Linked DNA regions of Zea mays. The protein of the gene in region 3 binds, or shares a complex with, the protein of the main gene of each other region. Links are inferred from orthologs where the notes say so. Each region holds a gene or a part of one and is shown on either strand. Other genes may lie near its edges.

Region 1 (4,110 bases), on a different chromosome or scaffold from region 3:
ACCCCGGCTTCGGAGGAGCCTCCACGTCGCCCGACCTAGGGCACATGCCCGCCACGTCAACAGGAAGCGCCATCATCACCCTACCCTGAGCCGACTCGGGCCGCAGAGAACAAGACCGGTGTCCCATCTGGCTAGCTCTGCCAGATAGGCAATGATGGCGCCCCGCTAGCCCTGTGACGACGGCGGCTCTCAGCTCCCTTACGGAAGCAGGGGAACGTCAGCAAGGACCCAACCGCTCCGACAGCTGTCCCTCCGCCAGGCTCCGTCGCTCCTCCGACAGCCACGACACCACACCAGCTGGGTGCCAAGATCTCTCCGGCTGCCACATCGGCATGTACTTAGGGCGCTAGCTCTCCCCCGCTAGACACGTAGCACTCTGCTACACCCCCATTGTACACATAGATCCTCTCCTTACGCCTATAAAAGGAAGGACCAGAGCCTTCTTAGAAAAGGTTGGCCGCGCGGGGACGAGGACGGGACAGGCGCTCTCTTGGGGCCGCTCGCTTCCCTCACCCGCGTGGACGCTTGTAACCCCCTACTGCAAGCGCACCCGACCTGGGCGCGGGACGAACACGAAGGCCGCGGGATTTCCACCTTTCTCACGCCCGTCTCCGGCCACCTCGCTTCCCCTCTTCGCGCTCGCCCACGCGCTCGACCCATCTGGGCTGGGGCACGCGGCACACTCACTCGTCGGCTTAGGGACCCCCCGGTCTCGAGACGCCGACAGATGTCCTAGAGGTTGACAATGGAGCGCGAGCATATCTACCGAGTAGGGCGCTTTGTGATGATCGATAATAGATAGATCTACAAGAGGGATTTATAGTTGGGTTAGTTTGACTATAGCAAAATAAGTCTTATCCCCTCTCTATTTTATTAGACGAGAAACGGGGGAGAAATAAATCTACGTACGTGATCCACGACACGCGAAGATATTTGGATTGAGTTAGATTAAAAAAAAAATACTTCTTTTTTATCAGAGACGATGTGAAAACTTAAAAACCAGTGCTTTACGTAGCAGAGAGTGCTTCAGAGAAGAGAAGAGAGAGTGACTATATTATTTTTAGGAAATAATACTCCCTTGATTTTTTTATTTGTCGTCGAACAAGTCAAAAATGAATTGGTGAGCGTCATATATAAAAAACTAGAGGTAGTATAATTTTAAAAAGGATTAATAAAAGTAAAAAAATTCCAACCGCACACGGCACCTCCTCTCGTCCGTTCGCCGCCTGGCTCGCACCGCTGACAGTGCGTCAGTCCAGGTCGATACTCCCTCTTTCCAAGATCCGGTCATTCTCTCTCGGGGTCGGCTACCGCCGCCGCCGTACGCCAGGTGCCGACTGCCGAGACCTTCTCCGATCTGTTTGCCGGCGAAGAGCGCCCGCCAAGTATTCCCACCCTCTTCTCTTCCCTAGTTCCCTGTCTGCTGTGCGAAATCGAGTTCTCAAAACTCTAACCTCAGACTATTTGATTAATGTGTGTACACATGTACACCCTTGTTCCTTTAATAGATCTGCCCCTGGTTTCAACCGATTGAACCCCGATGTCCGACGTCGAGAACCCTGGCGTGGGTGGGAAGCCGCCGCCGTACAAGGACCCTGACAATGGGAGTCAGCGATTCCTACTCGAGTTGGAGTTCGTGCAGTGCCTCGCCAACCCTACCTACATCCACTGTACTGTACTGTCCTCCATTCTCTTGTTTCATCTCACCTTGTTGGGATTAGCTAATCTGATGTTGCACGCATCTATAGAACGTTTTCCTGTACCGGTTTGTTACCAATTTTGATAGGGGCTGTGCTGCTAGTAACTAGCAATCCATTGCAACGGACTGAAAATTTTTGTAGAAGTGTGTGTTTGTCAGTAAGTCCCTGCTTGAGAAGGGAGCTAGGAGTGCTTAGGAATTTTTAGTACTAGCCTAAATCCCATTCTCCCCTATTCAAACTGGTCTCGTCTGCATGGGCCTCATGAGCGGTTTCTTATCAATAGGATATGATTGCTAAGCTAAGGCTGTGATATTGTTAGTAGTGTTGCTTGATATCATCATTTTGTGTGCCTCATGGCTCCTTGTTTTTTACTTGAACTTTCTTGTTCAATGCACATCATGTTTGGTACTGCATGGATGATTTGAATGCTCTTTCTTTTCCCAAATAGATCTAGCGCAGAATAGATATTTCGAGGATGAGGCATTTATCGGGTACCTCAAGTATCTAAAATACTGGCAGCGACCAGAGTATATCAAATACATAATGTGAGTGATACCATATTCAGTGGTTTTTTCTGCAACAGAGGAAATGGCTTGCTCATTGTTTTTGCTGATGATGCAGGTATCCACACTGCCTTTTCTTTCTTGAGCTTCTCCAAAATGCCAATTTCCGAAATGCAATGGCACATCCAACAAACAAGGTGATCTTTTGGCCTAGAATCACACGTTCACACTTGAGCACCGTTTTTAGCTTTTGTTTACCGTCTTGCAGTGTCATCCCTTCTTTCAAAACCTAGCTGAAGTTGCTCTGTTGGGCCATATTATTTTGACTTGCTTTCTAGAACCTATAAAAAACAGAAAGTCACACAAACTTGATATGAGTACTTTTGTAGAACTATGCAGCACGTATACTGATACATGTATCGGTATCACAAGGATACTGATACACAGATACAGCAATTTCCTAAAAATTCCCATTCATGAATACATTTTACTATTTTTTAAATAAAAGGATAATAATGCATATTAAAATGGATAGCAATCTAACAATGAAACACCACAATCTACTTAACTATTTAAGTTCTAATTAAAGCACAGCAGGTCTCAATTCTCAAATACAGTAGTCTCAAATTTAAGAAATTAATAAAAGGCATTCAGGTTTGCAATTCAGGCTCGCACCAAGTTCCTATTCCGCATTTGTCTTGCTTGTTTCATTCTCATCCACAACATTAAGCTGGAGATCACCCAAACCAAAAGACACAGCTTGCAATTCAGGCCCATCAAGGGAGAGGTCAGGCACTTCAAGGATGCCAATACCACCAAGTGAATAAAAAAATCTCCTCCCACATCCCACATCATTGTCTCTCCTGTCTTATATGCATCAGTTCTTTTTGGCAGACAAAGACCAAATCTTCAACATGCTCTGAGTTATGGCATTTCTCTTGACACTATGGATAAAGCTATAGATGAGGCTGGTTGGCTAAGCAATTTGGTGGCCAAATTCATCAATAAGGGAATAGGCTGTCCATGAGTTGTCCACAAAGTCATAGGGGAAACAGCCAATCTATCATAGATTGAGTCAGGATCATTAGATTCTTTTGAACAACTAGAGAACCTTGAGTACTCTTCTTTTACTTTATTCAATTTTTCCAGCACGCGAAAGAACTTGAAGCAATTCATCCTCATCTTTTTATATCTCTTTATTCTTGTGGGGTGGTTCATGGCTAGGAACGGGAATGGGTCGGGTCGACCCATTGGGTAGTCGACCTGACCCACAAAAGTAAGGCCAATAGGTCAAACGTCAAAGGGCCGCTTCAAAGTTTAAATTGGCTGATAGGGCCAGAACCTGTTGACCCAATGGGTAATGTAGGTCTACCCACTAGTTGCATAACAATATTTTTCTTGAATTTGTTGGTCTTCGTTATTTTTTGTTTCAAATAAACACGATTAGTCATAACTTATAGACACGTCTATGCTTGGAAGTATGTCGAGGAATATCTGGAAGTATAAATAGTTAAAATACAAAATTGCATTATTAATACTTTGTGCATCGCAGATCATAACCAAAATTCTAAAAAGTGTTAAGCCATTCATGATAACTAGGTTTGAACCATGCATGACTCCCAGCAGAATTTTAGAGTTTTGAACTATGACTAAAATATCATTTTGGACTATGACCAATGTTTCAACCATGCATGCATGCACATACAGGGAGCAACAGCCATTAGTTGGATCTGGCTATGGTGCCCAGCAGTAGCCCTCAGCCCACTCTTGTTTGCAACTGCAAGTAGGCTGAGGGAGCCGCCACTTGGCCACTTGCATTATTTGCACCGGCTAGTTACCTGGTCCGGAACCTTGTGCCCAGCTGCGTTAGTGTCCTGGCGGCCAGGCCAAACCAACCAAGCTGCAGG
Region 2 (3,666 bases), on a different chromosome or scaffold from region 3:
CTGTCGCGGGCGTCGGTGGCCATGAACGCCTACTACCAGGCCCGGGGGAGGAACTCGTGGAACTGCTTCTTCAACGGCACCGGCATAATCACCATCACTGACCCCAGTGAGTGCTTCCTTGCTTGCTGTGAGTGTCTCATTGCCCGTGAACCGTGTTGGGGGAGCTGACACCGGATGATGGATCATTGGATCCTCTTGCAGGCCTTGGCACCTGCAAATATGCTTGACACGACGGGCTGCTCTGCTGCTGCTGTGCTCAACGGACGATGAATAAGGCTGTAGGGGAATGATGCATCTTTTCCTTCTCTTTGTTTTGTTATTGTGTCTGTGTGAGTGAGCAGGGAGTATCCTTGCAGAACCAACCAGTATCATGTCTGAGCACTGTAGAGAGAATTTCCGTGCTTTTATTTCCCAAATACAGTTCTACTCCAGGCCAGTGGCTGGAGGGGAGTTTAGGAACAGGTGTCAAAGGTCTCAGGTACTGAACAAATACCAAAATATAGAAGAAATCCCAGAGGAAGCCAGGTGCCAGATCCATTAAAAAGACCACCACAGTTCAAGCGTCAGTTCATACTAAAAACATTGCACCTTACAACCAAAGGTCAATCCTAATCCGGCAGATCAGAATGCCAGTACACAAAAGCTAAGTGCAATTATTGTTCACTAGTAGAGAATCTGAAAAGACGGAATATAAAGTTCTTACTGGCATTCATCCTCCACACTCCATCCACAGGAACAGTTTCTTTTCAGCAAACCTGCTATGGCAGACATTGGATTTACGTCAACACAATATCTTATGAGCTAGATCGGTTTCCAACACTTGATGCCAAATACATACAAAACCAAGAAGTAACTGTTGGAGCCAAATTAAAAGAGAAATTGACTTTGACAGTGCATTGATAAGTTGTAGGAAGAAATTCATCTCAACTTACATTAACGTAATTAATCTAGCTTCTTAAAATTTATGCAATTGTCTGTTGCTTCATTAAACAGCACCTCAACCTGCTTCAACTCCCTTTCTGTAACGCAATGACATCAGTAATTAGACATATAATAGTAAGAACTCTAGAAACAGTGGGGATCGTGTTACCGGCAGCTTCAAGTTGCTTCTGGAGCTCCAGTCCCACGACTTCATTCTCTGCCTGCAAATTTCAGATTTTCATACAGTTTATTTGGAGTAGGAGTTTGGCAGATGCCCATCCTGTGCTCGATGAATTAATCTGACTGTCTGATATCTACCTGTAGCTCTTGGATTCTTTTCACTTGATCCTCTTCTGATGATAGTGGCACTGCTGCAACAAGTGCATCAAACTGCATAGAAGGCCATAATTGTTCCTCATTTAAGGGGAAAAAGTTGGAACTGCAGCAAGCATAATTTGAACTAAAGTTTGCCAGTCTTTACATTTCAAGTTTTCAACCATGGTTAACACAAAGTGATCTCCCTCACTCCCTCCCTCCCGTATGCATCACTCTACGTCTGTACGCTGTTGTTGGGATAAACATCTTATCTTAGGAAATGGAGCAAGAGATGAAGATTCTACGTCTGTACGCTGTTGTTGGGATAAACATCTTATCTTATGAAATGGAGCAAGAGATGAAGACTCTACGTTATGTACATTGTTGGGATAAACATCTTATCTTATGTAATGGAGCAAGAGATGAAGATTGTTCTGTACACTGTTGGGATAAACATCTTATCTTATGCAATGGAGCAAGATATGAAGACTAGTAAGTGGCAACACGGTTTCATTGTTTGTCTCCACATAACGCGGGCAAGCAAGCAAAAATTAAACAGTTGGTCCTTCACTTATTCGCAGCATCAGACTTACGAGTAAAACTACGAAGCGAGCCGAAACTTTCTACTTAACCACACAAAGATATTTTGGAATCACCGGGCGGGCATTTGGTCCAGAAGATGGGGACACCGAGAAGAGAAGTGGGGCAGGGTACCTACCTTCTTGGCCGCGAGGACGAGGGCGCGGCTCATAGCCTTGGGTTGCTCGGTGAGGTCAGGCGCGGGCGGCTGCGCCTGCGCCTGCGCCTGCGCCGGTGGCGGCGGCGGCGCGCCGGGCTGGGCCTGGACCTGGGGTTTGGAGTCGTCCTCGGGCTTAGGGTTGGGGTTGAGCGGGTCAGGGTAGCTGCTGGAGAGGCGGTCCGGCGGCGCGTCCCTCTGCAGCGTGCCGAAGGTGTTGACGGCCAGCACGGCCATCTCGTCGAGCTGGTCCTGCAGCTGCGTGATGATGTCCATGCCGAATCCCCACCACTCTCTCCCTCTTCTCCTTCCTCCGTCCCAGACTTGCAGGACGGCGGCTTTATTGTAGCAGGCCGATTTCATCCAGGAATGGGTCTGCAGGATCCAGCCCACGTAGCATGGACCAGGCCGGATCTAAAAAATGTATGTGCCGGTATTCAAAAGATGCTCGCTCATATTCCTGGGATACCACCAAGTCTTCCGGTCACCACACATTTGCAGAATGCTGAGCCATCGGCAATTTTACCATTGTCATTTATAGGCTTCATTAATATGACGTCGGACCCTAAATTATAGACACAGATGATTCTATCAGTTATAGATATGGGATAATATAATAAAGTCAAAACTGAGAGTGACAAAATTATAAATTGTTTGGCACCAAAAGGAGCGCGGACGGAGGCCGGACAGTCCGCGGTCCGGACAGTCCGCGCCTGTGGGCCGGACGGTCCGTGCGTGCGCAGAGTAAATTAGGGTTCCGAGTTTTGTGCTATGTTTGTTAGCTAAAATCGCGGGAAAAGCTCGGAAATTAGTTTGTAAAGGGTCCAGCCCCCTCCTCTATAAATAGAGAGGTATACGGCCGATTTGTAATCATCAATCGAATCAATACAACTTATATTTCACATTTATTTCCTGTACAATTAGGAGTAGTTCTAGTCTAGTTCTAGTTTAGCCTCTCGATCCCCAAATCTTCCGCCTCTCCTCGACTCTACGTCGATTAGAGAAGTCTAGGTCAGTCTACCCGAGCCTAGACACCACCTAGGATCTCTCCTCCCCGACGGGGTCCCTCCCGGGAGCGAGATCCAGGCGCCGCCGGCGATCTCCCGCCGCCCCTGCGCACGCGCGGACCGTCCGGCCCTAGGGCGCGGACCATCCGGCCGTCAGGCAGGGAACCTTAGCTCCTGCGCCAGGTCGCGGACCGTCCGGCCCTGTGTCGCGGACCGTCCGCGCCTGACCAGAGAGCACCACCGCCTCGCGCCAAGTCGCGGACCGTCCGGTCCTGTGCCGCGGACCGTCCGCGCCTGACCAGAGAGCACCGCCGCTGGTTTTTTTAAGTGATTGGCGCCTCCAAAAAGGTGTCAACATACTTTTTGGCGACTCCGCTGGGGACACAAATATAGACGCATCAAATCGGCCCTCAATGGCCGGTTCAAGAGATAGCTCTAATATTTCCCCAAGCAACATCATAGAGCCGACTTAGGAGACCTTGCCGGCTGACGAACAGCTCCAGTTCGAGGAGCACAAGGAGCAGATGATCCAGGAGGCAAAAGCGAGGTTCTTGGCCAACTTCAAAGTGGACAGGAACAACAAAGTCGTCCGACATCGGGCGACAGATCCGGCTTCACTGCGACCCACGCCAGACATCCCCAATGTAAGTAATACAAACGAGCTGTAATCTCTTAAGAATTATGTAG
Region 3 (2,518 bases):
CCAAGGCACGGCCCATTTAACAGTACCGCGGCCCGACCTGAGAACCATGTCGTGCCTGAGCCACCGTCTCAGTCTATAGTGCCGGCCCGGTCCGACGTGGCATGATTATATTTTTTTAAATTTAAATGTATTAGTATGTATATATATTTACAATATTTATCCTCTGTGTAACACAATATTTAGAATATCTATAGAAGAGGGCCACGGTTCGAGCGCTAGTATGCTCTCTTTTTTCTTATTTTTTTTCCCGTGGGAGAGCGCTGCGCCGCGCTGAGGGAGACCCAATGCACAACGATTTTCCCACTTAAATACAGTAGAGACTAAAAAGAAATAGACTCAGGCACTGACCAGCTTCTTCTCTTGTAGTTGTACAAGAAACCCATGGTGATTTAAAGTCCGAAAAACTAGAAAGTCTGCCTTGCCAACATATTGTCTGCAGAATAACCAAGTAAATATGTCATTCACAGCACATTTACAAGAAAATGATGCAACAAGTTGGCATTGAAAAGAATGAGTAACAAACTTGTTGTTCATATGCTCCTGGGCTATGAGGCGAACAATCTGCATTGTTTCTGGCCAGTCCGCTGCAAGTCTGCATGCAGAAAGTACGGCTTTCAGTTTCCTACTAAGTCTAGATGCATAATTCGAAAGTACCACAAAAAGGTTCCATTGTTAAACATACCCAATGAAAATTTCTAGTATCATTTCTTTCAAGACAAGGACAACGACAACATAACATCAACTAACAAGAAATACTTACCTCAATCATAGTAATCAACAGAAAACACTGTATAACAGAGATTCAAGAAAATGTAAGGTTTATTGCAAAAAATCAGACACTTACGTTTCAGACGCTGTTCCACTCCTATAACCCTGTCAGACATTGTTAAAGTGAGAAATGTCAAAACAAAAAAGCGAAAGAGCTGCACAAGTAAGACTCCAGCTTTGAAGGTGATAACAAACTATGGCTCAAAATGGGCATCCGCAGCAATTGATACAGTCCATTTCTAAAGGGGTTAAATTCTCTCTACCTGAAGTTTAAAAAAACACGATTACAACTTCAGAAGTTTATTCAAAACTAGTTTATTTCCAGTCTTAGCAAAAAGATGGGTCAAAGATATCACAAAACTTAGTTGAACGAGCATAGAAGTGTTGTTCATACAGATCTACAAAGAGCATAGAAGTGTCATCATATCTCAGGAACTCAGGAACCATTATTTCTGCTAAGTAATGCTGCAGAACAAAAAACTACTAGAAACTTTTATAATTTCTTACAATATACTATATTTTTTTGGAGACCAATAATGCAAAACAAAGACTTACTTCGAGTTTACAAATTATTACAGGCTGTCCTTGCCTTTGGCCAGATAAAGTTCCCTGAAATACAGATAAATGGCAAACATCATGTCAGGGTCTAAGGAGGCCCACGGAGGAGCTGCGGCAGCAGCAACCATGGGCCCTCCAAGGGGATTAGATAAGAATAGTTAGAGATAATATTAGAAGATTAGTTGAGATTATTTAGGAGATTAGTTGAAAAGCAGGAGGGGTGTCGATGGGCAGGAACGTCGGCCGGGGGCGTCTACCCACGGCCGAGCAAGAAGAGGGTTTCTCCCTTCTAATTCTTGTCTGCTTTATTTCTCATCCATTGATTACATAAATAGACCGGCTGGCCGCCCCTATCTAGCTAGAGATCCTTATCTCCTTAAAACTCTCCTAAAAACTCTCAACAAACTACTAACTAATAACCTTCCTAGATAATCTCAACTAATCTCCTAAATAATCTCAACTAATCTTCTAATATTATCTCTAACTATCCTTATATAATCCCCTTGGAGGGCCCATGGTTGCTGCTGTCGCAGCCCCTCCGTGGGCCTCCTTAGACCCTGACACATCAGTTGTTGAAAATCTCTGGCCAACAAACAAGATTGTATGCAACATAACTCCCAATTTTTGCACTACAGTATCATAGCCACAGCAGGGCCTAAGGCTCCAATTAGCAGTGTTATCAAGTCATCCAGTTAATCGTGATTAGTCGTCCTAGTTGGTATCCTGGACTCGACTAGGGGCTACAACTCGATTAGGCTGATTAGTTTTCTGGTCGTCTGATTAGTTAGACAACTAGGAGGTGGATAACTGGAATTGATGAGCAACTTAGGACATGGGTTGCATCTAGGATGGCTTGCTCGTGTTTTCCTGTCCAATTTGAAACCCTGCGTGCAGCTATCACCCTAGAGTTATCTTCATGCTTGATTTGTACTCTCGAACATATAGTATATAAGTATATATTTGGTATATTAATCCTGATATATATATAGGATAGGATGAATAGGGGACAACTATGGCCAACTAGTCGCCTTGATCGACAACTAATTGCGACTACTCGCCCTGGTCGACGACTAATCGCGACAACTCACCTAGTCAGCCCCATGGCGGCTAGGATCGGCTAGACGACTTGCTAACATTGCCTATTAGTCATCTTCTCTGCACCGTGCTTACCATTTATTTCAAGCAACTCATT

The links. The genes of interacting proteins can lie anywhere in the genome.
Region 1: mediator of RNA polymerase II transcription subunit 25 (region 3) and Mediator of RNA polymerase II transcription subunit 31 share a complex: the UniProt entries of both Arabidopsis thaliana proteins name them as parts of the mediator complex. The link is inferred for Zea mays from reciprocal best matches to the Arabidopsis thaliana genes PFT1 and MED31.
Region 2: mediator of RNA polymerase II transcription subunit 25 (region 3) and Mediator of RNA polymerase II transcription subunit 21 share a complex: the UniProt entries of both Arabidopsis thaliana proteins name them as parts of the mediator complex. The link is inferred for Zea mays from reciprocal best matches to the Arabidopsis thaliana genes PFT1 and MED21.

The regions. Positions count from the first base shown.
Region 1 is NC_050096.1:207,962,185-207,966,294, forward strand, and holds the start of Mediator of RNA polymerase II transcription subunit 31, read left to right. Parts: upstream 1-1,310; 5' UTR 1,311-1,385; intron 1,386-1,508; 5' UTR 1,509-1,540; coding exon 1,541-1,670; intron 1,671-2,148; coding exon 2,149-2,245; intron 2,246-2,321; coding exon 2,322-2,400; intron 2,401-4,110. UniProt on the Arabidopsis thaliana protein: Component of the Mediator complex, a coactivator involved in the regulated transcription of nearly all RNA polymerase II-dependent genes.
Region 2 is NC_050099.1:37,998,941-38,002,606, reverse strand, and holds Mediator of RNA polymerase II transcription subunit 21, read right to left. Parts: upstream 2,249-3,666; coding exon 1,955-2,248; intron 1,312-1,954; coding exon 1,240-1,311; intron 1,143-1,239; coding exon 1,091-1,142; intron 1,020-1,090; coding exon 943-1,019; 3' UTR 933-942; intron 759-932; exon of another isoform or gene 756-758; 3' UTR 501-755; downstream 1-500. Other genes in the region: putative X8 domain containing family protein isoform 1 precursor, read left to right, coding at 1-106, 202-227. UniProt on the Arabidopsis thaliana protein: Component of the Mediator complex, a coactivator involved in the regulated transcription of nearly all RNA polymerase II-dependent genes.
Region 3 is NC_050097.1:178,591,858-178,594,375, forward strand, and holds part of mediator of RNA polymerase II transcription subunit 25, read right to left. Parts: intron 1,378-2,518; coding exon 1,324-1,377; intron 874-1,323; coding exon 845-873; intron 593-844; coding exon 524-592; intron 434-523; coding exon 349-433; intron 1-348. UniProt on the Arabidopsis thaliana protein: Component of the Mediator complex, a coactivator involved in the regulated transcription of nearly all RNA polymerase II-dependent genes.